Notamacropus eugenii: one gene and its partners. The protein of the gene in region 4 interacts with the protein of the main gene of each other region in a pairwise test. Links are inferred from orthologs where the notes say so. Each region holds a gene or a part of one and is shown on either strand. Other genes may lie near its edges.

Evidence for each region.
Region 1: the proteins of SUFU (region 4) and HDX interact in binary tests that used the Homo sapiens proteins (3 or more experiments, as listed by UniProt). The link is inferred for Notamacropus eugenii from reciprocal best matches to the Homo sapiens genes SUFU and HDX.
Region 2: the proteins of SUFU (region 4) and RCN3 interact in binary tests that used the Homo sapiens proteins (3 or more experiments, as listed by UniProt). The two-hybrid records come from large-scale screens. The link is inferred for Notamacropus eugenii from reciprocal best matches to the Homo sapiens genes SUFU and RCN3.
Region 3: the proteins of SUFU (region 4) and GLIS3 interact in binary tests that used the Homo sapiens proteins (3 or more experiments, as listed by UniProt). The link is inferred for Notamacropus eugenii from reciprocal best matches to the Homo sapiens genes SUFU and GLIS3.

Annotation. Positions count from the first base shown.
Region 1 is NC_092879.1:79,045,580-79,053,448, forward strand, and holds the start of HDX (highly divergent homeobox), read right to left. Parts: upstream 3,001-7,869; 5' UTR 2,855-3,000; intron 1-2,854.
Region 2 is NC_092876.1:12,233,746-12,241,095, forward strand, and holds the start of RCN3 (reticulocalbin-3), read right to left. Parts: upstream 3,008-7,350; 5' UTR 2,568-3,007; exon of another isoform or gene 2,503-2,567; intron 838-2,502; 5' UTR 836-837; coding exon 594-835; intron 1-593. Other genes in the region: FCGRT (IgG receptor FcRn large subunit p51), read right to left, coding at 3,352-3,437, 3,550-3,675, 3,793-4,065, 4,676-4,951, 5,037-5,282, 5,462-5,543. UniProt on the Homo sapiens protein: Probable molecular chaperone assisting protein biosynthesis and transport in the endoplasmic reticulum.
Region 3 is NC_092872.1:40,395,896-40,402,787, reverse strand, and holds the start of GLIS3 (zinc finger protein GLIS3), read right to left. Parts: upstream 3,009-6,892; 5' UTR 2,282-3,008; intron 1-2,281. UniProt on the Homo sapiens protein: Acts both as a repressor and an activator of transcription. Binds to the consensus sequence 5'-GACCACCCAC-3'.
Region 4 is NC_092872.1:180,690,953-180,698,644, reverse strand, and holds the start of SUFU (suppressor of fused homolog), read right to left. Parts: upstream 3,003-7,692; 5' UTR 2,812-3,002; coding exon 2,612-2,811; intron 1-2,611. Other genes in the region: ACTR1A (alpha-centractin), read left to right, coding at 6,495-6,542. UniProt on the Homo sapiens protein: Negative regulator in the hedgehog/smoothened signaling pathway. Down-regulates GLI1-mediated transactivation of target genes. Down-regulates GLI2-mediated transactivation of target genes. Part of a corepressor complex that acts on DNA-bound GLI1.

The DNA of each region.
Region 1 (7,869 bases), on a different chromosome or scaffold from region 4:
AATTAGAGAAAGGGGAAGAAATGAATGAATAACAGAGAATGAATTTTCTCTTATTAGGATCAACATATACAGTTTACTTCTGATGGTCTACAACAGTGATTTTTCAAATTTTTCAAATACTGATTTTGAATTCTTCAGAGTTGATTCACTATGTCCCAGAACCCTAAATCTTACTGAGGTATTGGGGCAGGACTAGGAGGTAAGGAAACAGACATAAGTAAAAATTGTCCATGAAGTAGGGAATTGTGGGAGAGCATCCAAAAAGTAGGAAACCTAAAACAAGGGAGACAAATGATGTCATTTTGAAATGTGAAAGAACAGAAATGCTAACATTATTTCTCGTTCCCTCTCCCCCCCAAAAAAGGAGAACTGGAGAAAGAGCAGGCAGCATCACTATCAGGTACGATGGTCTGTGGGGGAAACAGCACATGGTTGGTACCCCTTACATAAGAATATTTCTTGAGTAAGGCTTTTCTTTGACATTCATCTTTGTATGATGACACCTGAATTACCAAGTGACTCTATTGTTAGAGCTGGGCATACTTAGTAGCCTGGGGCCTAAATAAGAAATTGGTGGCAGATTTCCCAAGTAGAGAACTGTTTTGTCTTACTATGGACAGATTGTGTCTCAGACAGATAAAATCTTACTCTAAAAAATCTCTTACTCTAAAAAATCTTATTTGCTTTTCTAGGCAGCCCTCTATTTGGGAAAGAAGGTCTTATGCAGCTACACTGTTTCAATCATTTAGTATTTCTTTAGCACTATACAGGATACAGAATAAAAGACAGGATCGCCAGCCTCAGAGTTTAATTTCCTCTTCAGCAACAGGACTATACATAACACGTGAAAGAATGAGAGAATGATTAGGTCTACATTTAACTAAATGCTCAAGCTCCCTTTCTGGGGGTAGCCTATAAGTGCTCTAGGAGCTCAGAGACCAGAGAGGATTGATGATGGCTGGTGGAAAAGAACACCAGATGTGGGTTGAGAGGATCTGGATTAAAATCTCAGATCATATATATATATGTATATACAGATAGATAGATAGATATACACACATATGTATATATATATATATATATGTTTATAAGGTATGATTTGGGGAAAATTTCTTAACCTCTCTGAGTCTTTGCTCATCCACCTCTAAATCTGTGATCCTATGTTTAGTCAGTCAAGGTTTGAGTTGAGCCTTGAGAGATAGTGAGACACAGAAGGGAAAGTAGTGTGTGTGTGTGTGTGTGTGTGTGTGTGTGTGTTGGGGGGTATTTGAGGAGTCAGAGGATGGGGTAATAACTCAAGTGAAGGGACAGAGGTGAGAATGAGTAGTGTATGTGTTCAGAGGACATTGCCTGAGGAGACAGGCAATGGGGAACAGAGAGAAATAGAAGTGAACAGGTAAGGTGGGGCTCCTGAGGGCAGCGAGGCAGAAGAGTTTAGTTGTAGTGTAATAGGTAATAGACAATAAAGGTTTCTGAGAAGGGAAATATCATCAGGAAAGTGATATCTGAGGAAGATTACTCTGGCAGAAGTATACAGGATGGACTGGGGAAGGGGAAAATGGGGGAGCTAAGAGTTTGTAATTAGTTCGAGATGATGATAGTCTGACCTAGGGTGGTAGCAGTAGAGATATGGAAGGAGAAAAATCCATTAGGATTTGATAACTGCCTTCATATACATATAGAGAAAGGAAAAGAATAACTTGACAGCATGGATTCGCCAGAGTCAAAAGCACAGAATGGACACTCAAGTTCTCCAGCCAATAGCACTTAGTTGCTGTGGGGCACAGAAAGGTAAGTACTCTTCAGTACAACTTATCCTGATGTGATTACATGTACCACAGACCTGAGAGCTTGTTGTTCAAAATTTGTCTCAGGCTCTGAGTAATGCAAGCCCAGCAGATGGGAGGTCACTCCAAATTGGAGGGTGCTTATGTGGCTTTGAGAGAATTAGGGAGACAAGGGAACGGGATCTAAGAGGAGAAACTCAGAAACGGGGTTTCAAGTGGGAAAAAAGGGCATAGCAGGAGGGAGGAAAATGACACGAAGAGGGTCCAATGGCCTCGAGTGGCCCCCAAAGACGAGATTCCAGTTGAAAGTCTGCTCAGCATGAGAGAATGGGGCTATATAACTACAGATGAACCAGCAAGGGGGCTGGCCTTAAGGGCAACTCGAGAATGTTGTCAACGGGAAGCAGACCACTGGAAGAGTTGGTGTTATTACCCCGACCACACAAATCCCATCCCGATCAGGTTCAGTTTTCCACTCAGCTTTCGCTCCAACTTCTCAAATCTCCCCGCTCCTCCTTCTCTTCCAAGCCCCAGGCGAAGGCCAGCCCTAAGCTCAGCGGAGAAGTGCGCTTGCGCACGCCCGCCCGCCCCTCACCGCGCGCCCCACCCTCGCGCAGGTGGGACTGCGCAGGCGCAGCGCCCTCCGCGCGTAAGAGCCGGGCTGTGGGAAAGCTACAGTCCAGTACAATCTAGAAGCGGCAGAATTCACCCCCCTCTTGTGAGAGGAAAAGGCGCCACCTCCTTCTACTCCTCCTCCTCCTCCGGCGAGGCCAGGCCAGGCGAGGCAAGGGGCGAGCCCCGAGCTCGGCAGCTCCGGGGCCCCAGGCCCCGGGCCCTCCGGTCTGTGCCCGGGGCAGCCCCATCCCCAGCTCCGCTCCGCCCCGCCGTCGCCGGCCGGGCCCTGTGGGGAGCGACGCTGGGCTCCCGGGGCCCCGCGCAGCTGCTCCGCCGCCCTGGCTCCGCAGGCCTCGGCCCCTGAGGGCCCCCCACTGGGCGGACCAGTCGCTCAGTGCCCTGCCCTCCCCCGCCCTTTCCCCCCAGCCCACTCCACTAGGTGCAGGGCTTACCTCGCGCGTGATGGGAAAGCGGCCGGAATGCGAGGCTCCCCGGGGCGGGCGAGAGCCGGGCAGGGCGGATTCAGCGAGATTTTTCCTGGGTCTCCACCGCCGCCTCAGACAATGAAATCAGCGTGTCCGATCATCAATTCTCATCATGATCGTGACGTCACGGCAGACAGCGGCCAATGGGAGCCCGAGATCAGCTCCGGACAGTCCCCGGCCTCAGCCCAGAACCCAGGAGAAGGGGGAAGGGGAGATGGCCGCCTGCAGCGGGGGGAGCCTCCCCTGCTCCCAGACCTGACAGTGGCCATAGCTAAGTCTCTTGGTGTCTGCCACTCCCTCTCTGAACGGCACCGATCACCAAGCATCCCTGCCGCTGCAGGAGCTGTAGATAAGCTTGTTGGGCCGGTAACTGTCAGGTCTTCCAACTTGACAATCACCTCCAGGAGCAGCCTAATTCTTCCACGCTGCCAAGAGCACGTGATTATGTGTAGCTGTGGGGTTCTTTATGTTTTTAATACACTTTTAGAGGAAGAGAAATACATTTGGAGTCAGTAAAATCCATAGGCACACATCAAGCCCCACTAAAGACTCCCATCAAAGTGATTTTCTACTTACTGGAACTGCAATTAATTCAGACAAAGTAGAGCTTATTTGCCCAGAACTGATGTTCTTATTCCAGCGAGGAGACCCCAGAACTGGAAGGGACCTTAGAGACCAACTCTAGTCCAAACTCTCCACTTGATAGAGAAGGAAACTGAGACCTGGGCCCAAGGTCACAGAGTAACCCCAAGCTCAAATTTCAAGTCCAGGTCCTTTGCACATCAACTCCCCAAATTTTCTGGTTTATGTGGTTGGTACCCTGTGAGTAGTGGTTTTCTTGTCTGTGAGCATAAGGGAACTAATGTCCCAGTTTGGGATTCCAAGGCCCTAAGTCCAAGTCTGCCTTCTTACAGATGTGAGAAGAAGCAGAGTAAAACTGAACCAGTAGGGTTCCAACAGCATTACTGGAAAAACAATCTGTAGGCACTTATTGAAGTGTTCAGTCCTACACTGTGCTAAATATTGTAGACAGAAGAAAAGGAGATGTGATCCAGAAAAAGAGGCCCTTACCCTCAAGAGGCTTACAGTATTGTTGGGGCAAAGATAACAAGAATAACACATTGAAACAGAAAAATGAGACATTAAATATTTGAGCTTCAGTAAAATCTTCTTATGCTGCATCACTGCATGAAGGTAGTTCTGATTTTTTGAAAGCCATACCAGCAGCCTGTAAACCTTAACAGATCTCCTTGATTCTGTGGAACTAGAAAAATTTTTGAGTACAGATCCAGGAAGAGACTGTATGTCTGTCTTTTGAAGACCAGGCTAGCTAAGGACAGAGAAGCTTATTAACAACTTGATAAGTTTTCAGACCAAGCAACCCTCAAAAAGACTGACTAATGTCAGTCATGGACTGACTAATGGACCAGTCACACAGATGAAAGAAATCACAGGTACTGAAATGATGAATTGTGTTTTAAGTCATAAGTTCCAGATAAACTATACCAAAACGGATCAGTGTAGTTGAGGGAGGCTTCATGAACAATGTGGGCCTTGAGATAGGCTTGAATGAAGGACAAGTGAAGATAAAAATGTGGAATGAGGAAGGTATGGTGGCTATGGTGATATCACCATTATTAGAGCAAAAGCCCTATGGTTTAATACAAATAACAATGAACAATACAAGACAGTATATAATTAAGTGAGGGGAAGGGCATGTAAGGTATAGTAGATAAAAACATGTATTATGTGGTATGTGTATGCATACATTCATACATATTATATACACATACGTATACATACACACACAAATATATCTCAAGTGCTCTACAGTGTTGCCACACAGGACAGCACTAGAACCAATGGGTGGATGCTAGGGGTGGGGAGCAGGTTGACAGGAAACAGATTTCAACTCAAGGTGATATAGTCCCTTATCACTGGAATTTTAGAAGATAGATGTCTTTATATCATAGTATCCTTGAATTATGTGGGAGATGGGACTGGATTACCTCTGAAGTTGATTGTAACTTGGAAATAATTTGGGTCTGGTACTTAAGGAAGATAGGGAAAACTCCATGGGGAAGGAATGTGGAGTCTTGGTGAGCTTGGTCTTGAAGGAAACATAGAATGTTGAGGGGTGGTAAGGGGTGGAAGAAATTCTAGGTGGGAATAACATGGATAAAGGAGATAATGTTGTCTAGTATGATATTCAGCACATGAACCTGATAATGGAATTTATTGCCGAATTGTTTAGTCCAGCCCAGTCTTGCATATTCCTCTCATCCTCCTCTCCCACACAAAAGAAAACAAAACAGGACATATTGAGGTGTAAAGCTTTAATTTCGCCAAATAATACTTTTTCCCCACTGATTGTGAACTGTTCTAGAATTTACTGACATCCAGGGCAACTGTTGATAAGTGAGATTATCAGGACACATTTTATAATTGTCAATAGAATGCTGAGAATATATACTGCTAGGTTTTAAAAATGAACTTCGAGGCTATTTATTTACCATTTGTGGATAATTGAGGCCTTTATTTCCTCTCCTTCCTGCTGCCCACCCTTCAATCATTGCTCTGCTTATTGACATCTCCAGCAGAGGGAGTGCAGGAGCATGGAGAGAAATTGAAAACAAGCCTATTTTCTTTATTTCTCTGCCCATTCAATTTTTAAATGTTGTAGGAAAGGACGTTGAAACAGATTAAGAGTAGGAGTTGTCCATGGATTTAAATTCTCCACGATTATTTTGTCCCATGTTACTTCAGATAGCAACAGTGACAAGGATGTGCCCTTGGGAAGGTTGCTCTTTTCTTAGGGAAACGATTGTAAGGTAAGGTGTCCAAGGATATCCTTGCTGTGAAAAAGCTCTTGGAGTCATCAGCATTTTCTCTTTGTAATCAATCCCTCATGGACTGTAGAGAACCAATCTTTGGTACCTCCAACAATCAGGAAGTTTTTGTTTTTGCAATTTGCTTATAGGTGAACCTCATTTTACAGAACAGATAGGTTCCTGAAAGCTTCCCATTAAGCAAATTCCTATGAAGTGACTCTACCCTGCTCCATTATGATACTGGAGGTATATTTCCACATATCGTGCTACAATGCAAGGGAAGACTGGAAACCAGTCTGAACATCAACTGAATACCTCAAGTGAGATTTGTAAGTAACTGGTTTCTATTCTCCTTGACCTGTACTTAATGTCAGCCCTTGGAATTGGTGGAAGACAAAGTTTCAATGCACCACTTTCCTGCTTTCCCACTAATGGCAGGCTTATGAAGGAAGGAAAAGAGAACAGAACATGAGAAGACTACATCTTAATACTGCAAACTCTAGATTTTTCCAAAGATTTTTTTCCCCCTTCTTTCATCAATGATAGAACAGAAAGGAAAAAATGGGAGAGAGGAACATCAGCTCTTCTTACTGCAGGTGATATATAATGTACAAAAACCCTAGAGAACCCACATATATACATATATACACATATGTATATATGTATGATATAGTGTATATATGTATGTATAGCATATTATATGTGTGTGTTTTCACATACACATTATATATATAGTGTGTATATGTGTGTATAATGTATATGTGAGTATATTCAGGAAAAATTCCATTAATTCGTTCTTCTTTGAGCTTGTATTGAATTCTTTCACTTCATTCACTAGACTATTTCAGAATGTTTGAGAGGATCATAGGATAGAATGGAGAATGTCAGACATTGCAGAATTGCAGGATCATAGAACATAGTATTCGAGCTGGAAAGGGTCTTAAACAAAGAACATAAGATCTTGAAGGGATTTTAGAACCTTAGACTTATCTAATCTAACTCCACCCCCTCCACATTTTACAGATAAGAGACTGAGACCCTTAGAGAAGTGACTCACCCAGGATCATTTAGTGGCAGAACTGGAGTCTTCCAAGTTCAAATCCAATGGTCTTTCCCCTACATGATGATGCCTTTCCACTACTCATATCCTTTCTCACTGTTGCACCCTTTTCTCCATGTATACTATCAAGAGCTAGGAATATGAGTTTCTTTAGTCCTATTGAAAAACCAAGGCAAACAGATTCTCAGCTTTAGTAAACAAAATGCTTTTTGAAGAGGTAAACAAAATAAGTCTTAGGCCAGTCATGTAGTTTTAGGAGAGGTTGATAGAAGGGAGGTTTTATAAAATCATTATTTGGGGTTTGGGGAAAATGAGGGGAAAGAATAAGTGTGGATGAATCATCCAGTGGGGTTGTCAGCCTCAAATGAAAAGAAGTGTCTGTATCTCTAGACATAGTGCCTATGTTCCAGGAAGGAATGTAGTCAGTTTAGGTAACAGAGAAGCCAAGCTCATTTTTCTTACTTAGAACATGTTTTTGATAGGTGAGGAAAGTGAAATACAAAGAGGCTAAGTGACTTGTCTAAGGTCAATGGATCAGTAATTTAGTAAATGGCACCATTATGGTCAGCTAGAGTTAATGCACCTCGGAATGTGCCCAGCAGCTTACAATCAGTTCAATGTCAGCTCTGGGAGAATGGGCAGCAGGAGGTGAGTAGTGTGGAAACTGGATGAGAAAGAATTGGACTGGGAGCACAGGATTTATTTGCTCAGGACAGGGAGGGGGAGTAAGCACAGGAGTGACCTGGACCCACAGGAACTGGCCTGGAATCTGGCAGAAAAGGTGGAACCAAAGGATCTAGAACCAGGTAAGTAGTTAATAGTTTGAACACACACAGTCAGATAACAGTGTCAAAAATACATGTAGCCAGGCAAGGCATGAAAAGAGCAGGGAAGTGTTGTAAAGGGCAAAACGGAAGAGGCAATAGGTCCAGAATCTTGCTGTCAAGGGTTGAGAAATGTCCAAAAGCTTACCCTAGGGAAGCAGGCAGAAAACAAGTATATATACCACAAGGCAGACCAAAACAGGGTTCAGAATCAAAGCAGATAGAAGAGAACCATCCAAAGGTTGTATCACAGGGATAAGAAGTGGG
Region 2 (7,350 bases), on a different chromosome or scaffold from region 4:
GTGGAGGGGGGGGGGTGACAAGGAGGGGGTCAAGCACCCTCAGAGAGAACAGGGACCTGGTAGAATGCGAGCTCCTTGAAGCCAGGGACTGGCCTTTTTGGGTGGCCCGGAAGTGCTTGTTAATTGAATGACCTGACCTTGGTGACCACCTCGCTAAGCCCCACCCCCCAGCCAAGTGGTTATTCAGCAGGGAGGGGGTGACACCCCCATTCTGCCCAGGTAGACTCCACCCTCATTGGTAAGTTTTCCTGACATTGAACCTAAATCATCCTCCCTTTCCTCCAAGGCCCTTCCTCCCTAACTCCGCCCCACACCCCTCCCCTCGGAGGCCAATCCTTTCCACTTGACAACCCTTCCAAATTCTTGAGAACAGATCTCAAAGCCACCCCGCACCCACAACCACTCATTCCTCAGCCTTCTTGGCTGTAGGGTAAACAGCCCATGGTTCTTCCACTGTCCTTATACGGCAGGAGATGCTAACTTCCCCGCCCCCGCCACATCAATCCCATCCAGTAGTAATACACACACACACACACACACACGCGCACACGCACACACACGTGCACATGTGCGCACGTGCGCGCATCTCATACCCGAGCCTTGCTTTGCTCTCTTCTGGGCTAAGCTGGTCAAACTCCCGAGCTGCCTCCCGGCCCAGGAAGGCCTCGTGGTCAAACTGGAAGTCTCCATGGGTATCGTCATGCTTGGCCTCACTCAGTGGGGCCTGTTGGTGCACCCGGCTTGAGAGAGGAACCCCGGTATCTGGGGGGGGCTTGCCCCATGCCTCTTTGCCCAGGTCTAGCCCCAGCAGCAGCAGTGACCACAGCCACGTCATTCCTGAAGGAGAGAGGTCAAGAAGGCCTGAGCACAGAGTCCCAGGACAGACTGGGCGATGATTAGAAAGGAGGAGGTGGACAGGGTCCAGAGATGGCAAATGGGTCAAAGTGGTGGGGAGGGGCAGGGAATTGGCATGAGACAGGAGGTGGTGATACTGAAGTGGGAAAGGGTCAGGGGGTTACTGGGCTGGGCAATGGGAAATGGTACAGAGAGGGTCTAAGAGATGGGGGGGAGACAAAGGCACCAACGGAGGGTGGGGGGGAGGTCACAAAAAGTAGAGGACAGGGGTGGAGGCACCCAGGGTGATGTGGAGGTGGCATGGGAGGTATGCAGGAAAGGGGTGAAGGGCTGAAAAGCTAGTAGGTGTAGCTAGATGAAAACTAGGAGAAATGAGTTAACTTAAGATGGAGGGAGCAGGTGAAAAAAGAGAAAGAAAGGCAAACTTTGGGGTTAGAGATCAGGAGATGGATAAGGGTACGGGGACAGATGACAAGAGACTGGTGTTGGTGGAAGGATGAAGGAAACACAGAAGGAGAAATGGTGGGCAGAAGGGAAAGCCGCACATTGGGGGAGCTGGAAGAGCAAAGGATGCAGTGAGATAGTGATAAGGGAAAGCGAGAAGGGGGCTGCAGTGGGCAGAGGGAAAGGATTGGGCCAGGGTTTAATAGAGAGGGGTTGGGAGGGGGTAGGGTACAGAAAGGGACTGGGTAACCATGGAAGGGGGCAGAGGGGGGTGGAGGATAGGCATACAAGAAAGAACTAGGATATAGAGTGGGGACTATGGGGCACCAAGGAGCTGGAGGACATAGCTCAGGGGTGGCAGATTAGGAAATAGGTTAAGAACTCACAGAGGGGCTAGAAGAGGGGGCAGGGGTACATAGTGGGGGATGGGTCTGAGGGCAAGATAGGGTCTGGGCAATGGGAGTGGCACGGAAAGGAGACTGGGGATGAAGGCATAGGTGAGAGCTGGAGAATGAATTGAGGGGGTGAGGTGGGGCACAGGGAAGGCATGGACAGTAGGTAGTGGCACAAAGAGGAATGGAGATGGCACAGGAGGCATACATTAGCTAAGAGTATTGGGACATATCTAGGGGACTGAGGGGCTGGGGAAAGGGGCACAGAAGTGCTAAGGGATGTGGGACAAAGGAGCATAGGGGAGAGGGGCACAAAATTGCAGGGATTACAAAGAAAGGAATAGGAGCATGTGCTGGGGGATGGGGGTGGCACGGAGTAGAGCTGCTGATTGGAGAACAGAGGAGTTGGAAATTGGGGGTCCAGAAAGAAAGGGAGGTGGGTTGTGGGTCGCAGAGGGGATAGAGGAAGGATTGGGGGCCAGAGGACTGAGGGAAGGGTTGGGGGCAGGAGAGAGGATGGAGGCGTCTTGGGGGCCAGAGAGAGGACGGAGAGAGGGTGGGTTGGGGCACAGAAAAGGACTGGGGGAAGGGTTGGGGGCAGGAGAGAGGATGGAGGGAGGGTTGGGGGGCCAGAGGGAGGATGGAGGGCGTCTTGGGGGACAGAGAGAGGACGGAGAGAGTGTTGGGGGACAGAGGGTGGGTTGGGGCACAGAGGAGGACTGGGGAAAGGGTTGGGGGCCAGAGAGGGGATGGAGGGCGGGTTAGGGATCTAGAAAGGGGCTAGAGGACTAGGGATGCAGAGAGGGGCTGCCTGGAGGACTGGACTGGGGAAGGGTGGGGTTGCAGGGGCCCGCGTTCCACTCCGGGGTTCCTCACCACCCCGTCCCGTCCCGTCCCGTCCCTCGGCGCTAGCTCAGAGGGAGCCCAGCTCCCTGCTCCCTCCTTTCATCCCCCCGCCCGGATCGCAGGCTCCTTGTGGCCCCGCCCTCCAGCCAATCCCGCCGCTCAGGCCCCAGGCCGGGGCGGAGCCTTCCCCTTCTTGGGCGCTCATTGGGCTCACGGCGCCACGTCCGCAGGGTGGGAGCCCAGGGGCGGTATCTGCTGGGGGGAGGGGGGAGGGGGCCTCCATCCCCTCCTCCCGTTGGTTCATAATGCCTGCGGAACATTTAGGAAACTACAGTTCCCAGCAGCCTCGGGGCCCGGGACGCAGCTGGGGCTCCAAACCCGAGGCAGGCGTGCGGGACAGACAGAACTCAGTGGGGAGCCCCGCCCCCGGTGCCGAGCAATCCCTGCTGCAGCTGCAGCCACAGCCACAGGAGCTTGCGCAGCAGCAGCAAGTGAGACGAAGGTTAGACCCCGGGAAGGACTTCCCCTCCCCCCATACGGTGAATCCCCACTCTGACTCCCCTCAAACAGAATTGGAAGAAAAGGACACAGCAGAGATCTGGACCCAACAGCCTCTTGTTTTGTTTGGGAGAGAGGAGTATATCAACATTTCTGCACTGTCAAAGGTGAAATCGAGGAGGGCTGCCTGGAAAGGGCCGAGGATGCGGAGGGGGCGGGAGACAGGACTCTATCAGGGGATCGCACAGCATCCAGAGACAACCCCCTGCAAGGGTGGAGAGGGGGTCCAGCAGCAGCCAGGCAGGACGCCGGGATCTTAGGGGCTGGAGTCCTGGGGAGACCCTGGGGCCGAGAGCAGGGACCCCACGTCGTCTCCTGCACGCCTCCGGAAAATCCAGGGAGCTAAAATGGGCGAGAAAAAGAAAAGGAGGAACCAGGATGAGAGGGCAAGGCTCTGAGGTCCATCTCTCCTCTGTTTCTCCTGGCCCCAGCGGAGTTCCGGACCACGGCTTACCTGGGCGTCCTCCTCTCTTCCTACAGATCACCACACAAGCCACCACAGCCCCCAGGGACACCAGGAAGAGCAGGGAGCCTGCCACCAAGCTGACTCTGATCGGCATGGGCAGTCCGCCAGACGCCTCTGCAGGTGTGGGGAGGTGGGAAAGGATTGATCAGTGGGCGTACAAAGTGCTTGAGAAATGTTGATTGATGAATTGGGACCAAGGATCCAGTGGCCCTAGAAGCCCCCTGCTCTTACCGAAGTTCACAGTGATGGAGCTGGCCAGTGCAGGGTGTTGCACCACGCAGCTATAGAGGGCTTCATCCCCAAAGGGAACCAGCAGAGTGCCCCGGGAATAGAAGGCACCGCCCCCGTTGGGCCATGGTTCCACTCCCTTCGCAGCCACTGGCTGCCCCTTCCAAAGGAAGCTCAGCTCCAGTTCCGGTGGGAAGAAGGAGAAGGCCTGGCAAGTGAGGATGGACTGGGTGGACCCTGACTCGACATGGCCTCCAGCTCGCACCTCTGGGGCCTCTAAGGGAAAATGAGCCCAGATCAATGGCACCCACAAGACCAGCCCCCAAGTCAGTCACCTGGGTGACCTGGGGCAAGTGCCTTCTCCTGTCTGGGTCTCAGTTCCCACATCAGTGGAGGGTTGGAACTAAGGTCTGTACAGGGCGGCTAGATGGCACCAGAGTGCACAGGGTGCCCAGACCTGAAGTCAGTTCAAATCTGGCCTCAGACAATTACTAACTGTGACTACAGGCAAGTCACTTCACCCTGTTGGCCTCAGTTTCCTCATCTGTAAAATGAGCTTCCAGTATCTTTGGCAAGAAAACCCCAAATGGGGTCACGAAGAGTCAGATAAAACTGAAATGAATAACAAAGATCTCTTCCAGCTCTGTGATGCAGCCCCCAGACTCTGAGACCTCCCCCAGATGAGCCTCACCCTCCCTGGTCCACCTCTTCTTTGCCTATGTAAGGGGGACTCCATCCCTGATCCCCTTCTGGTACTGGGCATCAGGATCCCGCTGCCCTCTTTCTCTGTCCATCTCCTTCTTCTCTGGCCTGGGTAGGAGCCAGACCTTGGAGTCCACTGACTTGTGGTGACTTCTGGCAACTCTGATGCCAGCTGCTCACGTACCTTTCCAATGGAAGTTGCCCTGACCCTTCTGCAGGTGACTTTTGAGCTTCTGGGGGCAGGTGGTAAGCAGGAATTCTGCATCCTTCTCAGCCCGCTGGCTCTCATTGGCCCAGCTTTCCTTCACATTCCAGGCCTCCACAGTGTCTCCTGACCAAACTCTGGACACAGGGTCAAAGGTCAAGAGGTCTGCCCCATCCAGGGCATATCGAGCAGTGTGATGAGATGAGTTGTCGGGGTTCAGTTGGCAGCCCACCAGGCCCTGAAAAGTGTGGGCCCCTGGGGGAGGCCCCAGATGAGGATATGAGGGAGGAAGCTCCCCCTTCCAGGAGCCCCCTCCAGCCCAGCATCCATCCAACCTCACCCTGCTTCTTAGAGAGACTCAGGGCTTCCTGCAGCAACCGTTCTTGGGTCTTCAGGTACCAGGTCTCCTTCTCCCAAAACCAGGGTTCCTGAGGCTCCCAGCGCCAGGCCCCCCAGGGCTCTGCATTGCCACCAGAGCTATAGGTCAGGAAGAGCTGGGGACCCAGCCACCCTGAGGCCCAGAACCTGGGAGTCCCCTTAGGGGCCACTGATACGGCAGTGAGCTGGTAGAACAAGGAGGGTGCCTCTGCAGGTCCGAGGTCAGGCGGCCAGAGGTTGGACAGGGACAGCATGGGAGAGAAAAGACACAGGGACAGCCAGGAGAGACAGGAAAGGGGGAAGGGACGCTGTGAGCGCAGGGCTTCCTGTGACCCGCAGCCCTGCCTCCCAACCCTTCCCAGGCTCCAGGCTCCCTCTCTCCCTCACCTGCACTCAGCACCCTCAGCTCTGGGAGAAGCAGCAACAATAGGAAAGGGAGACCCTGGGGGTTAGGAAAGGGCCTACCCATGCTGAGACCTGAAGAGAGAAACTGAGTCACAGACACTCCATGGACCCAGGTGCTGACCCCAATCAGTGCGGCTCATCAGAAACGGGGAGACCTCTACCACCACCCCACACTCCCCACCAGCGATGGCACGTTCACCTCCAAAACTACTGAAGGCCCCACCCCTCATGGGGAGGCCTACACGTGCCTTGGTTCTAACCTCTCCCCCAGCCCTATCCCCTAAAGGAACGCGATGTTCCGTCGGACCGTGCCCTCCCCTTCTCCACTTCCCCCAAGGATCCCAGAGGCCCGGCCACGCCCCCGCGAGAACCAAACTTCCTAGGCCCCCCAGTTCCCCCTCCTGCTCGAGGCACCCTGGCTCCCCGTCCCCTCGGGGCACTCCGATGTCCGCCTCCAGCCCCGGGCTCCCCAGCCCAGCCCGGCCCGCCCCGCTCACGCTGGCCTGGGGCTCCCGTGACTGACCTCGGTCAGTTCCTCTACTGCATCCTGCCTTCCCCCACGCCCAGCCCACCCCGGCTGGAACTTCGGCCTCCCCTCTCTTCCGTTCTACCCCTGCTCCATCTGCGCCGTGCACTCCCCCACCTCCGTTCCGGGAATGTCCCCTGGCCCACTTCCCCTCTAGCAGTGGGTGGAGACAGGACCAAAACTATCCAACCGTGCCCGGGCAACCGCCCTGCCCCTTCCAATGTCCCGTGTGGCGGAGAGGGGCAAGCATCTGCCCAAGGTCATACAGCGAGCCTTGCCAGACGGGCTGTCAGCCCGGACCCTCCCCTGCCCCCGGGCCCGGCCCTCAGTGGCTCTCTGAAGGACAGGGAGCGTGCGTGGTTCTGTCTGTCCTCACGTCCGTCTGTATACCTGTCTGTATTTGGATCTGTATGCTTTTTCCTTGGGTTGGGGAGGGCGGGGAGAGAGCCCCAATAACTAGGGAGAAGAAGGGGCTGGGCTTCCATCGGGATCCGCCCCTTCAGTGGCCCCGGGCGGGTGGGACTGGGGGGGGGGGGTCCGAACTCACAAAAACTTCGGGGTGGGGCCTAGAGGGCTGGCAACTCCAGAGGTAAATAATGAACCCCCAGGGCAGAGGCAGCTGCTGGGATTGCGGAAACACCTGCGAGGAGGAGCCTGGGAGCTCCCAGGATATCCCGCTCCCTCCCGGTTCCGGCCAGGGCTGGGGGCAGGCGAGATTCGGGGGAAGAACTGGCCTCCGCTGGACACAGAAAGGGCCCAGGGCTGGGCACTAAGAGCCCTGCCTTCCCATCAGAGGAGGGCTCCTCCAAGGGGATCGTCCTCGCCTTTTTCTGTAGGTCGGGCCACTGGATCCAGGTGGCTCAGGAGAAGAAGGTGAGGTAGGTGACCTTGCACAGCTCTCCCTCACTCAAATCAGAGTCAACTGCAAGTCATGTCATCATCCTGATGTCACAGTCCTCTTCCAGAAGGAAGGACAAACACAACCACAACAGTAGGTCCAGCGCTGGACCCATTGTCTGGCATGTAGTTGGCGCTTCATAAATGGTTTATCGAATGACCCACTCGTGGGGTCACACAAGTTTAATTTTCATTTCTATATAAGAAGCCCCGCCTTCCATCTCCAGTCTTACTCTCTCCTGAGCTCCAGCCCCACATCACCAATTCCTTTGGACTTTGTGTCTTGGTGTCTGTCCTCTAAGCCACCCAGCAACACTTTGAAGTGTATCCCAAAGCAGAAGAAAATGTAACAGGGAAATAATTAACAAAGGAAAACAACAATACAGTAGAACATAGATAATGTTGATATGTGGCTTTCTAGTCAATAAGCTGCTGCCGACTTCACTGT
Region 3 (6,892 bases), about 140 Mb from region 4:
AGGGATGGGCAGAGAAACTGTCCTGCAATTCCAGGATCAGAGCCTGTCGAGAAAAGGGGATGAGGGGTTCAGGGTGCCTAAAAGGAGAAAGGAGAGATGAGGAAAGTCAGTGCTCACTGAGCCTGTGGCAGAAAGGAGAGGCACCCCACCCCCTTAGGATGCCAGGTCTCCCAGGATTGAATCCAGGCCGGGCTCTCAAAGACTATCCCAGGAACTTGAAAGGGGCAAAAGGGAAAAGAAAGGAATGAGCCCCTTTATGCCAACCTCTCATACCCCAATCTCTGGGCTGACTGAAAGTAGCCCGAAGCCCCATGTGCCCAGGGCTGGGTGAATGTGCCCTCTCTGCAAGGGCTCCTCTCCCCACCTTGGCTACCTGGGGAAGGCCAGCATGGGAGGCGGGAGGGGTGTTAAAGAGCAAGGAAAGCCTGGATTGGGGGAGTGGGGGGATGGGGGGAGACCATTCCCTTCCTAGTCCTTCGTCACAGTCACCAAACTAATCTATCCTATCAGAAAGGACAACAAAGCAAAACAAAAAGCGCCCAGGCTTCCTGTTGTGCAACTCCGGACTGAATAAGCCCTTTGCCGGGAGGGCTCCGGTTCGCTCAGCAACCCTTTAATAAAGTCACATTCATGAATGGCTACCCGGACCAGAGCGGCACATAAAGTCCGGGCCTGCTCCCTTTCCCTTTCCCAAATGCCTCCCACCCCAGAGGCGCATACACCCCCTCGCCCCCCGCCCCAGCCCCCAGCCTGGGGCAAGTTGAGCGAGGAACCCCTGTGCCAAGGTGCAGCAAAAGACGGGAACTGCGTAGATGTGGGAGCCCCAGCCTGAGCCAGGCCACTGCACCACCACTCCCACCCCCAACACCCTGGAGATAATACAACCGGAAATGAACTTTCCCAAAGTTTCTCCCTCCAGGTACCTAACTTAATCATCTACACGATGACAAATCCTTCCAAACCAAGGAGACGCGCCCCCAAAGTTTCCAGACAGTATTGTTTCTTCATTCCCTGACCGATTTGTCAGCTAAAGTGAGTAATTTGGAAGTCTACATCACCACAGTGCTGGGGGACGGAGAGGGGGAGAGAACAGGATCCTGAGTGTGCATGTTCATTTGTGTGCGTGCGTGTGTGTGTGTGTGTGTGTGTGTGTTGTGTGTGTGTGTGAGTGTGTGCGTGCGTGCCCAAGAACTCGAACTGCAGACTCATGCTTTCCGGAGAGCAGTTTGGACAGACTTCCTTCAAAAACACACAAGGGTAATTTATGGAGACTGAAGCGGGACAAAGTCCTTTTAGAGTGAAAATGAGACATTTTCAAAACAGTCCTGACATTTTGCTATGCACGATCAAAACGTAAACGTTCGGTGACACATGCAGCGGGCTGTTTGTGTCTGAGTGTGTCTGTGTGCTGGCAACACTCAAGGATACTGGACACAGGTGTGTGTATGGATACCTACGCAGAGAAGCCCTATAGTGGGAATATATTGCTGTAAAAAACCACTCCCAAGTCCAACACTGCTTTCACGTATATCAACAAACACGTGGGTTTAAATAAAGCACCCCTAAGGGGTCTATTTGCTACAACAATGTGTGTACAAAATACTACGTATCTGCTACTGTTATACACGTATATGGGGCAAATAGGCTATGATATAGATCAGAGCTGGACAGGTAGGTAGGTGGGTAGGTAGGTAGAGATTGATAGATAGATAGATAGATAGATAGATAGATAGATAGATAGATAGATAGATAGATAGATAGATAGATCGATCGTCAGTCTATGTCTGAAGAATGAACTTATATCACCCTTTCAATACCTACTTCCCCAAACTTTCTCTTTCACACAAACTTTTCGGTCGGCACAGACTATGCCTTCCAGTCCCTTAACTTGAACTGATCTCTAAGCAACAGCCGGTCCTTTCGGTAAAAAAAGAATCCTCTCCTTTCCAGAGCCTGCTTTAAAGTCTCTTCACTTTCCAGTTTCTTACCGCGGTCCAGGAGCACTCCGTCCCGCCCTGACTCCCACTCTTTGGGCTCTCTTACCCCACTGACAAGAAAAGTATATTCCCTTTCCCGCGTCTTAAAAATAATACTGTTTTTTAAAAAGCTGCTTCCTCATCAAAAAATAGGACTGAAGGACACGACACTTGAAACAGTGCGTCCGCACAGGGTTTCCAGAGAAAACTATTTCTCATACAGGTCCCTGGAAGCTGGAAGGTTCCCCCTCCCCCCCCCACTCACTTTCTTGCCTGCAAGCGAAGTTCCTATGGCATCCACTTACCAGGTAACCAGGATTTCCACAACAAAGCTCAACGTGCATTTTTCCTCTCCCCGGGCTGCCTCTCTCTCTCCTCTCCACCAGAGAGAATGACAGCCCTGCTCGCAAGGGGCTGAGTATCAGGCAGCAACTTTGGCTCCCAGCGCTTCAGCACGCTTGGAGGGTTTGGCCTTTGGAAATGCAAACTTCCATCCGAGCTGAGGAATGGGGCAGCAAAACCCAGCCGGGGTGCTTTTCGCTGGGGCTGCGTGGGCACGTCTAAGAGGAGATGCCCCCTGGGCATCAGTTCATTCTCCCCCTCCCCCAAAAAAATCTAAATTAAAAAATATATGTTAAAGTTAAGTTTCCATTTCACTGTGCCTGGCCTGTTGTGCTCATCCCTGTCCACGGAGGGAAAGTTAGCCAGTCTGGTTGATGATGAGGTTGTGGACTGGCGGGTGATACCCAATGATTGCGGGGGGGGGGGGGGGGGAGGGGGGGAGAGTAGGTTTGTGGCAGGGGGGAAGGGGTGCGAGGCTCCTCTGCTTCCGAGGATGGGGAGGAGTTGGGAGGGGGGAAGCCAGCAGCAGCGGCAGCGGTGTTCTCTACCCTGTGCCTCTTCTCCCAAGGCTGCGTGGACTTGGGGATCGCAAGGACTGGGAAGAGGGAGGGAGAAAGTAAAAGAGAGAGTTAGTTGTGAGGGCCAGCAGCCAGCCGCTTCCTGAGTGCGAGAGCCAGAGCGGGGAGGGGGAGGGAGGAGGAGGAGGAGGAGGAAGGGAGGGAGGGAGCAACAGAGGAATGAAAAGGGGAGGGAGGTGGGAGGGGGGCAAAGGGGCGGGTAGTGCCTGGTCACCCGGTTGGCTAATTCAAAGGCTGAGCTTGTGTCTCCCTCTCTCCGTTCACACACTCACATGCACATAGGGAGACGGGGAAACTAGTCAGAAGAAAGACATCACTTGATGACTGAACCTCATTTTTGTCGTGGTTGGTTGTTTGTTTGTTTTGTTTTCTTGTTTGTTTTACTTTTTTTTTTTTTTTTTTTTTTTTTTGAGATGGAGAAATTTCAGTGGCCTGAAGGGAGGGCCCTGAAGTCGAAGCAGCTTCATGCAGTGAGAAGAGCCCTGGATCTGGAATTTGAATATTTCGGTTCAATTCCAGCCCAGAATGAACGACCAGAATGACCTTGGGCTATAATAACTTGCATTTATTGGGTATTTTAATGTTTACAAAGTGCTTTCTTCTCCATTAAACCTAGGTGCTCAAAGGGAAACAGCTGTGGTACCTGGAAAAGACCAAAAGCTAGGACGCCTGGATTCCAGTTCCAGGCCTCCCAGGAACTAGGCTGGATGACTTGGTGCAACTCAGTTCACCAGCTTGGGCCTCAGTGTCTCTGCCTGGAAAATGAGGGGGCTTCTGGTTGGCGCCAGAAAGTAGAGCTAGGACCAATGGGTCCAAGTGGAAGGGAGCCTCGTAATTGGCTCCATGTGAGAAAAAGCATCCAAACAATTAGAGCTGTCCAAAGAGTAAAATGGACTGCCTCAGGTGGTTCCTCATTGGAGGTCTTTAAGCAGTAGTTAAGTGACCACTTCTTGAGGAAATTGCAAATGAGTTTATTGTTCGGTTTAGGGCTGGACTTGATTCTGAGGTCCTTTCCAACTTTGTAATTATTTGACTATATTATCTCTGAAATTCTTTCCAGTTTTGATCCAATTATCCTTCGAAAAACTACAACAGACAAAAACACTTTAAGAAGGCTTGATTGGCCGAAAGTAAAAAAGAAAGATGGAAACTATCTAAATGACCTGGGATTTTCTAGGAGTGAGAACTCCCTCCACCAAATGGGTCACTGGCATGTCCCTAATTTATTTTCATGAATTTGCCTGAGGCTCAAGGAACTTAAGCCATAACTTGCCTGTGGTGATGGAGCTAAGTTTCAGATGAGAGATTTGAACCCAGAACTTACAGACTTCCAAGTGCAACCCTCTATCCACTGTGTGCTATCTAGAGAGAGACAAATGTGTTTGCGTGTGTGCATGTGTGGTACTAAATATATCACAATGCTTCATAAGTAATAATTCACACAGTGGTCAGCAGTCATGAGATTACAAAGCACACTCATAAATGGATAGGGGAAGTACATACGCCTACAGTCATAGCCTTGGAGAGGGAAGGTACCTGAGAAGCCATCTGCTCTTGCTTCCTCATCATACAGATAAAGAAACTGAGATTAAATGATAAAACCGAAGTCTGAATCCAGGTTCTCTGACTCTCTTTTGTACCATGTTCTGTTGCATAAGAGAAATGTAGTGAAAGTCTTGAAGTTTTCAACTATACTGTACATACATAGTGCATATATGTGCTTTAGTCACATGTCTATATCCTATGCAGCCATTCTCATCACTTTCATTATCTAGAAGGGGGAGGGGAATCTAAACTGGGCGGTAGTCCTCTGTCCCCTACTAGAGGCCACTAAGTGGTGAAGTGGATCAAGAGATAGACCTGGAATAAGGAAAACTCGAATTCAAATCCAGCCTCAGGCATTAACTGTTTGACCCTGGGCCAGTCACTTAACCTATGCTTGTTTCAATTTCCTCATCTGTAAAACTGGGATAATAATGGCACCTAACTCTCAGAATTCTTATAAGGATCAAATGAGATAATATTTCTAAAGTGTTATGTAAAACTTAGTTGTTGTTCTTCGTACTTAAAGAGGACCAAAATGGCATCACCATGCTAGGGTCAAAGTACAGCGTGTCTGACTGTGGTTGATCAGACTAACATAAACTCAGAAGGGTTTACCACAGGTTGGGTACAAATACTCCATACAAGTTTGGAGTAGAGATATCTCTAAATTTGTGCATGTCACATTTCTTTTGAGTTACTGCAATTTGACTTTGTGCAAGGAGCACAGTGTCTTCTTTAATACGGGCAAGGGACATTGGGCAGTCCTGTGCCAGCATCTCCCTTCTCTCAATCATTTCCAACTCTTCAGAGAAATCTTGAGAGTATCCTTGTATCACTTCTTTTGACCTCTTTGTGAACACTTGCCTTGTGTGAGTTCTCCATAAAATAATCTTTTAGGCAAAGGTACATTTGGCATTCAAACAATGTGGCTGGTCCATCAGAGTTGCACTTTCTGCAGTAGAGTTTAATGCTTGCCTTGCAGATCAACTCGAGAAAGGACCTTCATATCCTATATCTTATCTTGCCAGGTGATCTTCAGAATCTTCCTAAGACAATTCAAATGGAATCTGTTCAGTTTCTTGGCATAGAACTGGTAGACAGGCATACAACAATGAGATCAACACAACTGTTCTGTAGACCTGGAGTTTGATAGGCAGCCTAATGCCTCTTCTCTCCCACAATTTCCATTAGAACCTCCCAAATAATGACCTAGCTCTGGTAATGTGTGTGTCAACCTCATCATCCCTGAAAAGTATACTTCCAAAGTAAGTGAACTTATTCACAGCATTCAATATTTCTCCATTTGCTGTAACCAGAGGTTCCATGTATGGATGCTATGGTGTTGGCTGGTGGAGAATCTCTGTTCTCTTGGTCTTAATTATCAAGCCAAAATTAACACAACCACTGTTGCTTTTATACTGTCAAATATTTTAACACACAAATACCTTTTTGGAAGAGTTTTATACATTCTTAAAACTTTATACAGAGTACATACTAGTTGAGGGAAAGTAGTTACGTAGTATACATTTAGTATATGTGAGTATTCAAAAGTTACTGAATAGCAGCAAATATTGGGGGGGAAAAGGCATATTTAAAAGCAACAAGTGTATCTGGAATTTTAAAATGCACTTCAAAATTGGATTTTTCCCTGAAATTCCAATTAGTTTAAAGAGATGATGTGATGCCTAAAGTTCAGTAACCTCAAACAATTATTCTCTAACATTCATCAAACACATAAAAACATGGGACTCCTCCTTTGTCTAATGCAGATGGGTGTTTGGCACATGGAAGGAATAATTGTTACAGTGATAGACATAACAATTCCTACACTGGAATGGCAGTCAGGGGAAACGTTTCAAGTGTATTCAAGTACAACTCTGTGTACCCTTTTTTCATGTTTCACAAGCTCTTTCTTTGTCATTTTTAAATGCTTGTCATACCAACACTGGTGAGGGATTCAGAGGAGTGAAGTCCTGCACCAGCATGCATAGGAAAGCTCTTGATAAATCATTTTGTTTTCATGACAATATTTCTTTCGATGCAGGGTTAATTAAAAGTGCAAATTTATCTCTGTATCAGAGGAACACTATGACCTACAAGTTGTCTCCTTCTTTCCAAAGCCTGTGATCCATTTTATTGACTCCACGAAGAACTAATGGATGGGAGGGTAAAACAAAATTACTTTCATGCATTTTAACTTGCAATTGACCAAAGAGTAAAGATTTCATGCCCACCTCATCCAGGGAATCCTGGAGGAGCATTGGAAAAAAAAAAAAGCTTAAGGGCATCTTTATTTATTTATTTTTGTGATAATACTCTCTTCCTTTAAAGTCCCTTCCAACTCTAAAGCCTTCTCTGACTTGCCATGGGAGGCATTATGGTGCAGTGGAAGAAGTATTAAAGTTGGAGTCACAGGACCTGCATTCAACTCCTGGATTTCATACTTATTAC
Region 4 (7,692 bases):
TCATGTTTCCCATGAAGTCCTTTAATCACATCAATCACAATGCATTAATATATAAAAGCATAGTTTAAATTTTTAATTAAGTTACCAGAGACCTGATATGAGCCTCAGGCCTCTTTAAAAGAAACTCAGCATAGATACCTATAAAAAAGTTTGTTAGTCAATAAGCATTTATTAAGTGCCTACTATATGCCAAGCACATGATAAATATTTGAGGATACAAAGACGGGCAAAAAACTGTCCCTGCTATCAAGCAACTCACATTCTAATGGAGGAAAAAACATGCAGAGAAATAAGCACAAGCCAGCTATAGCCAGGATAAACTGGAGAGAGTACCAAAGGGAAGTCATGCATTAGTAACTAAGGAGGACTGGTAAAGGCTTCTTGCAGAAGGTGGGACTTTAGCTGAGATCTGAGGGAATTCAGAATACAAAATGAGGAGAGAGAGTATTCCAGTAAAAATGCCCAATGTCAGGAGATGAAATGTCTTGTTTGAGGAACAGCAAAAGGATCTTTTCAGAGAAGAGTAAGGTGTTAGATTTGAAGTCAGATGGCCTGGGTTCAAATTCTGCCTAATATTTCCTAGCTAGGTGACCTTAGGCAAATCACCTAATTTCTCTCATCCTCAATTTGTTCCCCTGTAAAACAGAAGTTATGATATTTTCACTAACTACCCTCACAGGGTTGTTGCAAAGAAAATATAAGCCAGAAATAGCTATAGAAATATGAATCACTGTAATATTATTTAAAGGTACTTTTATACTTCAGCTAAAGAACAAGTTGTAAGCCCTAAAGAGATGAGAACAATGCCTTAACAACCAGGGAAAAAACTTCCCTTTCCAAAAGAACAAGTGGCCAGGTCTCATTATCTACTGCTTAGCCAACTTTTGAGGCTGCCTGGCTGTAGACCACTTGCTCTAACATGGAAGTCCACCAGCCACTGACCTGCACAATGGTGTTTTAAAGGGAAATGCTAGGGTATTTGGTGAGGAGAAGTGCTCAATCCCAAAGGGAAAATTGAAGACAAATGATTCTGAAATGAAACTCACTTTACCTAACTTCCCCTTTTTCCAGGCAACTGATTCCAGGGCCACAAGGCCAGCAGCTGTCCCAAGAGGTCAGTTTCCAGTGATCTGCCCCTTCTTCCTGTCCCAAGACTCCATGGACATGAACTGAGTGAGGGTCTGCCTTAAAGGGACAGTTATAAGCTATAAAATAATTCTTATGAAACAAATCTTTGTACCAATACAATATGTTTTCTAGCTAACACAACAGTCTCCTTGCCAGAATCTATTGGTAGTTACCAGTTGGCTTAACATAAGAATCATAGAATGAGAGTCAGAAGGCATTTTAGGGGCCATTCAATCTAACTCTCACCTGACTAGAATCCCCTCTATAATATTCTCTTGAAGACCTTAAGCCAGCAGAATTTCCTCTCACTTCTGTATAGGCTTAATTGTTAGAAAGTTTTTCCTTAAATAAAGCATGAATCCACTTCTACTCTTCGACCCCTCAGTGCTCCTAATATTTGTGGCCTTTAGAGCTATGTGACAGCCCTTCAAACATTCTACTCCACTGTTCTCTTATGGCCAAACACCCCCAATGCTTTAGGGCAATCAAAAATCATTTTTTAAAAAATCAAAGAATTTGGAGCTGGAAGAGATTTTGGAGTTCATCTAGAAGACCTTGCAAAAGAGCAAACTTTGGCCCAGGGAGCTTGAGTGATCTGTCAGTGAAAAGAGAACGAGCCAAGTGTCAGATAGAGCTAAAAACCCAGGTCTCTCAGTACAGAATTCTTTTCAAGTCCTCCTGAGCGAGATAACCCAAGCTGCGCCTGAAAAGATCATGCACGAACCTTTTCCTAACCTTCAGCCCTTTTAAATTCATGTGAATTCCTCGTCCCCTATGTTTGTCCCTGGTCTCAATCTGTTTTCCTCCTCTAGGTCAAAAGAAATGAAGACTGTAAAGGCAAAAGAGGCCGTCAAAGGAACGACTTTTCAGAGAAAATTTCCAAAACTTAAAGGGGAGGGGAGTTTAAGAATCAAAAGACTTCAAACGCAAAACCTGTCCACTACTAACAGGTCCTTCAGCTCACCCTGGCTCCCCTTCTCTAACCTCCACTCCCAGCCGGGCATAGCCCTTCTCCTTTCCCCCTCCCTTCCCCCCATCTCTAAGAGGGACTCCTTCCAAGCACTCGCAAACAGGCAAACTTTCCCCCGAGCCAGGCAGCCACCCCCTCTCAACTCCAGCCTCCAGCTTGGGTCCGACAATAACGTCCTGTCCTTCCCCAACCTGGCTCCCCCTCTCGCCTCCCCGCCAGGGTCTGCGAGCTCCCCACGGCCCGCCTCCGGCTCCAAAGACCCCTTTTCTTCCACAGCCCCGCAGCCCCAGGCACCCCCCCCTCCCCAAATTTCCATGAGCTCTTTGGTCCTCGAGCCCGGTTAACCCCTTTGTCTCCGCGGTCCTCGGAGGCTCCAAAGTTAACCCTTTCCCTCCCGAGCCCCGCGTCGCCTCGCTGGCCCCTCCCCCCCGCCCTTCGGCTTAACCCTTCCACGCCCGGCCGCGCTGCCCCCGCCCCCCTCGGCTAACCCTCCGCTCCGCCCCCCGGGCTCACCAGTACTTCACGATGGCGGTGACCTGCAGCGGGTTGGGCTGCTCGGGGTACAGGCGGCGGCACTCGCCGTAGATGGCGTGTAGCCCCGGGGGAAAGAGTGAGGCGAAGGCCGGGGGCGCGGCGGGGCCGGGGGCCGGAGCCGGGGCTGGGGCCGGGGGCGCGGCGGGGCCGGGGGCGCCGCTAGGCCGCAGCTCAGCCATCGGGGCGGCGGGGGCCGGGGCCGGGGCGGGGGGCGGAGGCTGGCACTGACGGACACACTGGCGGGACGGCAAGCAGAGTTCGTGGGTGCGACGCCCTGAGGGCAGCAGCGAGGTCCGGACTCCGCGCCTGCGCACGGCACCCCCGTCCACCCAGGCCGCCGCCGCTGCCGAGTCTGCCAGTGGGGCGCCGCGGGGCCGCCGGGCGCTCTTTGGGGCGGGGCTCCAGCGCCCGCTCTCCTGGAGATTATTGGTCGTCATCTATATCAGTCACAGGCTGGAGGGCGTGGCCTGACAATAGGCCCGCCCCCACCGTCCAGCGGCCGGGGAGGGTGGAGGGGAGAAAGTGCTGGGCTAGCCCTGGCCATCCGGAGGTGTTACTTGAGTGCGTGCGGGGCTCTGGGCATCCCTGTGAGACGAGCGACAGGACCGCGGTTCTGTTCCTTCCCCCTTGGTGCCGAGAAGGTTCTGCCTCAGCGGACGGGGTCATTCATTCATTCGTCTGCGCGGTACTGACTTTTTTAAAGACGGTTGAGACTTGGTTTCCGTACCTACCCCACCGACGTCTGTGGACAAGATCCAGGGGATGTAGGTTACCTGCCAGCTGCCACTTTCCTGTGTTCTTTTCCGTGGGTTGGGTGGAAGACTTTAAACTCCGCACAGATACATCATGAAAGCCAAAGGCAGCGCGGTGGACTAGAACGAGCGCTGGTGTCAAAGACCCTGGCACGCTCCTCACCCTGGGCAAGGCGCTTGACTTTTAGCTGCTCCCAGGGCGCTCTCAGAAATCCTTCAGTTACAGTAGCATTCCTTATCTGCATGGCTGAGACAGTGTCCATAACTGCGGCTCCTCTCCACAGATAGTCAGAGATAGGAACCAAAGAATAATAATAAGACCTGCTTTGGGAGAAGTAAAGCCCCCCTCTAAATAGTTATCCACAAGTACTGTGTGCAGATAGGAATTTAATAATTTTTTTTTATTATGGTAACATTCCCTTCTGTTATTTCTCTTCTGCATTGAAAAGTTACTGAGGAATCCCCGCTGGCCCCCATAATCGTTGCCCTCTGTATGTGGGGAGAGTCTTAAAAGTTTCTAAGATATCAGCTTTACAGATTTTTTAAAAATCACAATAACCTTATAGGCACGCTATTGTTTACTCAAGTAATCTTGAATGTAAAATGAGACAGCCATAGGCATTAATAGAAAGGAGGGGTTTCCAAAGGGCAAGTATGATTAACTGAAAAACACCAATAATTGAGAATGAGTATCCTAATAGTAATTCACATTTGTATAATGCTTTAAAGGGAGGTAAGTAGCAAGCATTTGTTAGGTACCTCTTGTTAAGGGCTTTATAAATATTATTGAATTTGTTAAGACTTACAAAACACTCTCCCTATAACAACCTTGTGAGGCAGATAGAACAAGTATCATACTCATTTTATAGACATGGAAACTCAGTAAGTTTCAGATAGGGTAAATGACTTTTCCACAGCTGCATGGCTTGGTAACTTGCAAAGCCAAGAACAGTCTGCATCTCTGTTGCTTAACCTGTCCTTGTTTCCATTTTCACTTAAGGATATAATTCTGACTATCAAAAGGAATGAAATGATGCAAGAAACTCTGGGTGCCTTGAAGGAAAGTTCATTGGCATTTGATTGGACATTTATTAAACACCTATACTCAAAACTATGCTCAGCACTGGGGACATAAAAACCAAAAAAGTCATAGTCACCATCCTCAAAAAGCATACATTTTACTGGAGAGGATACAGTATGTACACAAGTAATTCTAATTTGTGGTACACTGAAGAAGGACAGTAAGCATATCAACAACCGGGGAAAATCAGAAAAGGCTTCAAGAAGGAGGCAGAGGCTGAACTGACCTTGAAGGACAAGGACAATAAGGACTGAGAAAAGGGATGAAAAGAAAATGCATACCACTGATGGGGTACATGGAGGTAGAAGACAAGGGATCACCTTTAGAAATATTTAGAACTTAGTTTGTGAAGTTAGAGTCTGAAATGAGAGCTTACAATAGGGAAGGCCTTAAATGTAACCTGGAGTTTGTATTTTATCTTTGAAGCCATATACAGCCAGATAAGATTTTAGAGCAGAGAAGGGGCATGATCAGACCTGAAACTAGAACCAAAAATTCTTGTGGAAAGAACTTCAGATATCATTTAGTTCAATTTATTCATTGTACATATGAATCTGAGACCTGGAGAGGTTAAATAATTTGTTCCAAGAAAGTGAGGCAGAAATGCTTTTACTAGTGCTGGCTATTCAATAACAGCTGTGTGATTCTGGGAAAATAATTGAACCTCTCTTTTACCATCTGTAAAATGAAGGATTTTAACTAGGTATTCCAGTGCTCTTCTAATTCTAAAAGGCCTATCAAAAATTATCACAAATGACAACAACCTATATAGATGGACTAAACAAAGTATAACTAGAAGAGGTCTGTCCTGATGCAACACAGGACTATGGATGCTGAGGGACTGGTTCTCAAGATACCTTAAAAAAGGGAGAGGATGCCAGAGGGAGGAGAGGGAAAAAATGGGCATTTTTTACTACTGAAAGTAATTATTTTAAAAAATCAGTAACTGAAAACCCATATACTTACAGAAATCTGTGAGAATTACAAACACATACCATATCCTTGATGAAAGGTATGAGAAAGAGCAGTCAAGTTTTCAAAAATTATGTTTTATAACAGACCACATCTTTATAGTCACACAATTAACTGAAAGGTACAGAGAATACAAGCTCCCACCGCGCTTGTGTTTGTCGAATATTTAAAAAAAAAAATTTGGTTTTCTAGAGCCAAACAGATCTTCGACAAAGCACAGCTCCATTTAGAAAAGTCAAACAAGATTCCTTGTATCCTTGTATCCTAATACACCTGTAGAGATTACCTCTGATGATGACTATCAGTGGACACGCTGGATTACCAAAGCTGGTCGGCATTGTCAGGAAGGATGTCCACAAAGTCTAAACGTAAGGTTTTAAAAGACGCTCGGGTTTGCAGATGACATGGTGCGAACTGTAGTACTACTACACCCCACCCCTAACCCCCACACGTTGCAAAACAAAAGATAGAGATATCAAACCGTGTAAAAATCGGAAAGGAAATGGACCCTACGAGTATCAAGAATGAAAGAAAAGACGTATAAAGCAAGAATGAAAAATAAGTTATTCCACCGTAGTGAAAAGTCCCTGGTATGTAGCGTATTTATTTATGAGAGGCCACAGACAAGTATCCAAGTACTTAGGCACACAGTCCCGCGAGACTACATGTCCCAGCATACATTTCGAACCCGCCTCATCAAAGACGGAATGGACTACAGATCCCATCATGCAACAACGGCAAACAATTCATGTCCCTTTCACGCTTCTCCAAGTAAACTACAAAGCCCAAAGAGCTGTGCGAAGGAAAGTCTAATACCCATCATGCAAAGCTTCGCTGGATTTTGAAAGAGTCTGAGAGATGTTTTCCCAGTAGGAGGGGTACCGCATAGTATATTGGGGACTGTAGTCTTCCGGAGGGTGAAGAGCAGCCCCTCCCGACTTCCTTGTCCCGGGGACAAGATTGCGCATGCGTAGCGGTGGTAGCAGCAGCAGCAGCAGCAGCAGCAACAGCGGACCCGGCTGGCAGTTTCTTCCTCCGGAGGAGAGACCCCTCTGCCATGGAGTCCTACGATATTATCGCCAACCAGCCTGTCGTGATCGACAACGTGAGTCTGGGTTTCCTCTTCCCCGAGCAGGGCCCGGCTATCTTAGTCCGAGGGTCCCCCGCCCTGGCCGCTGACTCTTTGTCACCGGCTCGGCCTGTCAGGAGGCTTTGGCGGTCCCCTTCTCCTTGAGAGAAGCAGTCCCTGGCCGGTCCATAGGCCAGCATCGCTAGGGTGGAGGTCGGAGGAGAGAAACACCCCATCTCTAGCCCCCCGGGTCATCGGGCCCTTGGCCTGAGGGGCCTCAACCGCTCTGTCGGCGCCCAGGGCCCAGCCCCTTCTCCAGTTCTGGTGACTCTATTGGTTCGGGTAGCTGTCCATCTCAACTAGTTAGTTCCGCCCCCTGGCTAGCCGGATGGGGCAGCGCTCTGAAGGGATTGGCTAGTTCCCCCGTCCATCCGATGGAATGCCGCAGGGTTTCCTCTTTCCGTGGGGCGGGGCGGGGCAGAAGGGAGTGTCAAGGATTGGCTCCCAGGACTCCTGTTGGTGAGACCAGTGGGACAGGGTTCCGCCCATGGGTGGAGAAGGGCCCGATTTTGTTCAGTCCTGGGCCTGGGCGGGGTGGGGACGTGGGAAGGCCGGACCCAGCCCCTGGGTGGGGTCGGATGGAGCTCCCGGGGAGTCTTGGTGGCTGTGAGCGAGTTTCCTTGGGCTCTGTTGTTTTTGTGGTCACTAATTATAATGCTGGTGTTACTGTATCAAGGGGTCAGAACACTCCTTCCTCCTGTGGAAAACCCAAACGGATCTTTAGTTTTGGGGAAGATCAAACTGTAGCCTTCCAGATGTACTTCTGGGTGTAGTGGATATATTCCCTGTGTGGAACCAGCGGCCAAAGATGTGTGGTGATCCCTGGGGTTCGTGGAAGCTCGTTACCTCATTAACCCTTTGATCGTGACCTTGGGTCTGGGTGACCCAAGGAAGTTTGTGTCATCCAGCTTTACTGTTCCCGTAGATCTGACTTAAAGGAGGGGATAATGGTAAGAAAGTGATAAGGCAGCCCAAGACCCCAGAGGGCCAAAAGCAAAAGAAGATTGCCTTCACACTGTAATTGCCCTAGTAGGGTTATCTCTCATTTTTGGATTTGGATTCTTGTGTCTGCTGGTCTCCTCCAAAAGTAACCGGTATATCTTCATCTTCTTTTTGCCCCCTTTGT